Saccharomyces cerevisiae S288C: one gene and its partner. The gene in region 2 interacts genetically with the main gene of each other region. Each region holds a gene or a part of one and is shown on either strand. Other genes may lie near its edges.

What was found.
Region 1: mutations in HUT1 (region 2) and SND2 together harm fitness more than expected from each alone (negative genetic interaction), as found in Saccharomyces cerevisiae (2 studies listed by BioGRID).

Annotation. Positions count from the first base shown.
Region 1 is NC_001144.5:265,603-268,886, forward strand, and holds SND2 (Snd2p), read right to left. Parts: upstream 1,317-3,284; coding exon 771-1,316; downstream 1-770. Other genes in the region: PER33 (Per33p), read left to right, coding at 1-675; signal peptidase complex subunit SPC3, read left to right, coding at 1,567-2,121; PET309 (Pet309p), read right to left, coding at 2,211-3,284. UniProt on the Saccharomyces cerevisiae protein: Functions in the SND pathway, a SRP (signal recognition particle) and GET (guided entry of tail-anchored proteins) independent pathway for targeting a broad range of substrate proteins to the endoplasmic reticulum.
Region 2 is NC_001148.4:86,308-89,989, forward strand, and holds HUT1 (UDP-galactose transporter HUT1), read right to left. Parts: upstream 1,727-3,682; coding exon 707-1,726; downstream 1-706. Other genes in the region: YPL245W (uncharacterized protein), read left to right, coding at 1-643; signal recognition particle subunit SRP68, read left to right, coding at 2,210-3,682. UniProt on the Saccharomyces cerevisiae protein: May be involved in specific transport of UDP-Gal from the cytosol to the Golgi lumen. Involved in the maintenance of optimal conditions for the folding of secretory pathway proteins in the endoplasmic reticulum.

The DNA of each region.
Region 1 (3,284 bases), on a different chromosome or scaffold from region 2:
AACCAATTGTCATGCTATAGAAGATCATTATTTTACATATCCGTTACATATGCCATCGTTCTTTACCAGTTTTTCAAAAGTGACCAGTTAAAGTTCAATTTTACGCTTTTGCGCCAAGAGATGAAGAAATTGGATAATTTGCAGTATTTTGCCATGCTATTCATACTTTTTCTCTTATCACAGTTTAACATCATAATCAGCGGCTCGTTATACAGTCCCGTTATCTTTTCAATCTTTCACTTCCTGAACTATTTTAAGGAAAACCTTTTGCCATTTTTGCCTTTGATACCACTTAATTTGAAAAATTTGTTGAACTCCAAAATAACGGTATTCATCCAAAACTACAATGGATTTTTCTTACAGATGGCGCAAGTATTTGAGATTATCTGCGGCCTACGTGTGGGCCTCTTCTTAGTGCCCTTCAATTTTTTCTTGTTGTTGGTAAGAAGAGCAAACGTGTCGTTTGAGGTAGTGGGTACAATGTTGGCAGGACTAACCTATGTATGGTTTTTCAAATTAAGGTACCTACAAAGTGAATCTATGAGGCAGATATTTAAACAATATGTCCTTAGGTTGGATGCATATGTCAGCCGTACTTTGCCCCCATATTGTTCCCGTTTATGGAACGGCTATAAGAATTTCGTTATGACAGTGTTTTGGAAGATACCTGTGTAGCATGCTCATTTTAAGTATATCTAAATATTATTTTGTATATACTCACACTCCTCTATAGAAAGCAAAAAATTTCAAAAACGTTTGAAAAGCTTTGTTTAACGATACTTGTACTTAATTTTAGAGTCAGTTTCACCCCTCCTCTCCCTTTTCATCTGCCTTTTGGATTTGGATTGTCCCTCATTAGCATTTTTTGAGCGATTATCTGCCTGAGTTTGTTGAGCGCCAGGCATGAACATGTTTTTGAGGCCATATAACTTGTAACCAGCATAGATGGGGCACAATAGTAGACACCACCAAAATTTGAATGTCCTGAAAGCTATAATACCAATGTTACCAAAAAGTGATAGATATATCAAATCAAAAAAATATGATATCAAATTTGTATTGTCGTTCAAGTCTATACCTTGTTTTACTACGCGATTGCCATCATATTTGGGCTTACCGGATAGCACAATGATATACAGAGCAACGAACATAGGAACGTTCAAAGCCACCAGCTTAATCCATTGGCCAATTGTAACCTTACGTGAAATGAATAGACGTACGATAGCCATTCCTAAAAACAAAGAGACTTGCTTGTATAAGCCCTGAATTATTTTTGCATTTGAACTAGCCTGTTTCCTCCCTGCTTTGCCAGCCATTCTACCAACACAAACTTAGACCACTGCCTTTGGTGTCTTCTTGAAGCCACACGTGAATACTACCTTTTTTTCATCTATTATCTTTTTTTAATTACGTTGAAATTTTTCATTTCAAAGGCGCAGAACGAAGGTCGACTAATTTCATGACAGTCGGTAGACGTGGAGAAAAAAGTTGATTGTTAAGCCTATTAAGTTCCACTGAGACAAAGACCCACAAAGCTAGCTAGCATTGCCGCACTTCTCCAGAACAATGTTCTCCTTTGTCCAAAGATTCCAGAATGTATCGAACCAGGCCTTTTCAATGGGAATTGTAATGGTTGTATTCATCATGGCATCCTCATACTATCAATTAATCAATAATAACGCGTTCTCAGTACCTAGTAATATCGATAACGTCAAAACTTTAATAAATGTTAGAACAAGTAGATATTTTGGCTCACAGAGAGGCAAGGCAAAGGAAAATATGAAAATTAAATTTGATCTAAATACAGATCTCACTCCCCTATTCAATTGGAATACAAAGCAAGTTTTTGTCTATCTAACTGCTGAGTATAACAGTACTGAAAAAATAACAAGTGAGGTAACATTTTGGGATAAGATCATAAAAAGCAAGGATGATGCTGTGATTGATGTGAACGATCTAAGATCCAAGTATTCTATCTGGGATATTGAAGATGGAAAATTCGAAGGCAAGGATTTGGTTTTCAAGTTACACTGGAATGTTCAACCATGGGTAGGTTTGCTAACTTACGGTGAAACTGTAGGCAACTATACACTGACCGTGGAAAATAAAAACAAAGTTTAGACTAGTCTTTGCTCTCTCAATTTTTGTTAATTATTTACATGATTTTTTGATATATATGCAGTTGATTATACAATATGATATATGCATTTCTAGAATTTACTCACAGGTAATACTCTCTTAGATTTCCTCAGTTCTTTAAAATATGAAAGATGTCTCATTTCAATCTGTTCCCATTTATTGATCTTGCTTCTTGGCATTAATAAGTAATCTTTCATAAAATACTTGTAATTTGATATGAAGTCACGTACCTGATCTTCTAAAGTTTTTAAATCATCAATACCGTCCAAATATGTGTCTAACTGCCTCATTATACTGTTATATGTATCGCTTTTTAAGTATAGTCTGGGCTGAAATTTATTGGGCTCTTTTTCCTTCATTTTTAATGTTGGCCAAGATTTATCACTGGACTGCGTCTTATCCTCGGATAGTTTCGTTAATAGTCTAAATTTATGGATCAAATTATACCCATGAATTAGTGTGTCATCAACGATTTTCATACCATACGAAAGGGTTCTTGGATCCTTAAATAACGCTTCTACAGCGCTGTTCCACGATATATTATCTAAAATAAAACCTTTTTCTCGCAATTTCTTCCACAGTAATGGCAGCTCATCGATTTTATTCATTGCAATCAACTGACTTACTTTATAAGGGAACAATCCGCTGAATATGCTTCTTAGTTTAATATTTGGCGTTGTAGATGATGGCAAGTTTTCAATGTTTTCAATACGATCCATGTATTTAGCGAAAAGTGTTTCGAAATCTTTCCATTGTTCAATTTGAGCTAGTAATACCAACAATGATCTCATCATCACAAATTTATTATTATTTGATATCCAATCATGCTTTTTGAAGAAAAGCTCATTGTACCGGTTGTATAACTCTAAAGCCCGCTGTGGGCTATCATGTTTCACAATCATTCTCATTGGCCATGCCATGACCGAGGGATGCAGTTTGTTATACGTAACGTCGAGAGTTCCATTGGCAGCATTTTCCATGATGTCTTCTACCATATTAATCGTTTCCTTGATTTCCTCATTATTTTGTAGGCTTTTTTTGGCAACGGCCTTCAATATATAATATAAAATTTTGGAATTCGCTGGTACCTTATTCTGTGACATTGTCTTGTACAAGTTAATTATACCGTCACGATAACCCTCTTT
Region 2 (3,682 bases):
TAGGGTTGCTGCCCCACAAAACGTGTTGAACTGGATTGACCAAATTAGTGTCGCAGGTAAAATCCCACCAATTGAATCTGTGCTATCTAAGGGCAATGCAGATTGTGCTGACGATAAAATTAAGAATTTTGATTTCAAAATTTGGGATGATTGTGGCGCCATGTACGAGGCAATCAAGGAGAAAGACCGTCAATACGGCCAATGTAGGATGCTATCTACTTACGATTTTCCCTATCGCTTGGACGGAAAAGACTATTACGTTGAATGTGGTGACAATTTCAAAGTTCGCTGGGATCGCTATACTCCACGTGAAGTGACGCCTTGGAGTGAGCGTTGCGACACGATTGATGAGGTAGGTAGTGTGTATACTATCCAAGGGTTTGATCTGAATTATGCTGGTGTAATTTTGGGCCGTTCCATTGGGTATGATGCGGCTAATGACTGCATCAAACTAAGACCAGAGCTGTATGACGATAGGGCCGGTTTCACCAAAAAGAAAAACATTCACAATGCAGAGGACGTTAAGCAAAAGATTATTATGAATAGCATTAATGTCCTCTTAACTCGTGGCGTGCGTGGTCTGTATGTTTATGCATACGATCCTGAATTAAGAGAGAGACTGCTTCGTCCATCAAAAAAATAGGAAGTACATAGTATAGACAAATTTTATAAATATTAACTTTTATTTGTTGCGATCTTCACTAATCTACGCAGATTTTGCCTTCGGTATATTAGCCTTCTTCTTGTTGAGTGCTTCCCAAGTGATTCCACCAAATACTATAAACATCCCCACCCATTGCTGGAAACGTACACTCTTACCGAAGACAATAATACTCAAAATCATCGAGACCATTTTCCTGGTGACTGTTATCATGATCAAAACTAAAGAGCCAAATTGTTCTAGAGTATAGAAAATAAAGCATTGTCCCATAGCGCCACAGAACGAATAAAGCATTAAATAGCCCCACACTTGTGGGTCCATCGTCAATACAGAAACGGCATTATCCCATTGTTTGCAGTCGATCACAATAAAATACAAAATATTCCACAATATCACGAAGAGGTTCAGTGTAAACATCAAGTGTGCACCTGTTATCAAAGTTTGTTTTCCCTTTTCTTTGGCCTTATTGGCCTTTAGTAGCTTATCTTGGGTGGCGTTGGTCAATCCATCAAGGAATAAACTAGAGAAAAGTAGTCCAAACCCTTGTAATTTGTTATCATTTCCGCTCTCATTAAAGGATCTCTTCAACTTTTTACCATCGTTGCCACCTATAGTGAAAATAGTGACACCGAGACTTACCAAGAGAGCTACAACTTTTTTTTGGCTTGCTATGGGCGTCCTATACAAAAGCAAATGCACCAACAACACGGGGATCATCTTGCATGACTTTGCTAACATGTAAGTGAGATAATCCACGTGCTTTAAAGAAGTTGTAGCCAGCGGGCCTGAACTACTCTGTGTAAATGATATCAACATCAATTGTTTCCAATGATCTTTAATCATTTTTCTGGGCGGATATTCCACCTTCTTCCAGTTTAAGTACAGGTAGCCCATCATCATTGCCACAGAAGCTTGTATGAGGGATATTACATTAGGGAATTGAAACTTTCCCATGGAGTTTGGCCAGGTTCTTGTAGCCAAAGGCTCCTGTACTAATGCCCACGTCAAAAAAGTAGCATATATACCAATCGCACAGATCACCAAACTGGATGTACTTCCCGCCATACAAATATACGAATACTGCCTTGTTTACTTCTTCTTGTTACGTTGTAATTCTGGTTCTAATTACATTGCTGTCATTTTTTCATGTTCGATGGGATCTACAAAACAACCTTTAGAAGCGATCTCAGGGAAGCTTTGGAAGAGAAACAGCTGATGATTCTGGCATTCCACAAACTACAACAACGAACCAAACGACATATTCCATTGCAGTGATTTGATTGGGAGTAAGCTTTTATAAACGAGCAGACCAATATGATTTACGTAGTATTTCGTTGTCTTTACCACATCGTTGTTCGTGATAAGTTCTGAAAATTTTTTTTGGAGTATATTTGCTAGAGTTAATCCAACAATATTAGCATAAACGAGCAGCTGGAGACTAGGTTATTTGAATTATTTGAGCATCAAAGTGATCAATTGTATTATATTACAGTGTAATTTTCTTTTTTTCCATATTGAATCAAAAACTAGCCACGCTTGAAACTAAAGATGGTTGCCTATTCTCCAATCATTGCCACCTATGGTAATCGTGCAGAACAGTTTTTAGAAACAGACTCAGACTTCGCTAAGTATCATGCGAAATTGAATAAAAAGTTGCAACACTTGAGGAGCCGTTGCCATTTGGTCACCAAGGATACAAAGAAATACTCAAGTAAAAATAAGTATGGCGAAATTAACTCCGAGGATTATGATAATAAAACTAAATTGATTGGTGTTTTGATTTTACTACACGCTGAAAGGGACTTGGCACTGGCTGAAACTTTGAAATTGAGAGCTCGTCAAAGAGGAAAGTTAAAGAAAAGTGAAGAAAAGGTTTTATCCACAAGATTGAAGAAGGCCTGCAAGACTGCTGATAAATTGGTTAACGTCACTCAAAATGAACAGCAATGGATAACTCGTGCCCAATATTTAGCGTTCGCTAAATTGGTACATTCAGAGTACCTAATTAATGGAAAAAGGTTCAAGAGGAAGGACAATGCCAAAATTTCGAACAACCTAGCCCTCGTTTTCGCCGCATTGGAACACTTGAAGAATCTAAGCTTATTAGCTGAAGAAGTTGTAGATAACATTGTTAATAAATACCAGTACTCTCTCAAGCAGTACGCGGGAAATTTAATTACAACGCCCGAAATAAATAACTTTATCGTGGAAAGAGTTCAATCTGATGAGAACAAGGACGATGAGCTTGTGAAATTGTTATTAGACAATGGATTCAATATGAAAAAAATTACAACCTCAACTGAAGATCAAAAGGTTACCACTAACATAAACTGGAGATCTTTCAACGCCAAGATAATCGATGCTGAAGTTGCTCAATTTTTGGAACAAGGTCTATCTATCCACCCAACTCAGATTACTCAATATACACAGAGGCTATCAAAATTGGAGAAAGCTTTAGACCGTCATGAATTTTTCATCGCAAACCACGACGATCAAGATGACATAGACGAGATGGTTGAAAATAGTTCTGAAAACAATCAGATAATTTTAGCCTACATTAAATATAATATTCTTTTGACCTCTATATCTCGTGAAAGAGATTTGTTTACTCATTTATGGAATCAATGGCTGAAATTAAATACTTCATTACCATCGAAGTTAACCAAATATAAAGAAATGGAACGTATTGTGAAGAATTTGACAAAATATTTATCGGACATAATGGAGCTACCTGGTGTGTATTCAGATGACGAGCTGCTAAGCCAATTAGACTTATGCAAGCTGTATTTCCAGTTATTTCTGAATACGGGCTGCCTGAGTGTTTTATATCAGTCGAAAGGCAGATATATGGAGGCGTTAGCTCTATATGTGGACGCTTACCGAAGATTAGAAAACAAATTATCTGAAATTGAATCTCTAGACGAAATCTTACTTCCAGCAAATCTTTTGTCATTGAATTCTGTCCGAAGCTTACAAAAGAGAATCGAAAACGGTGGTAATAGTGTCATTACTTTGGCGGAA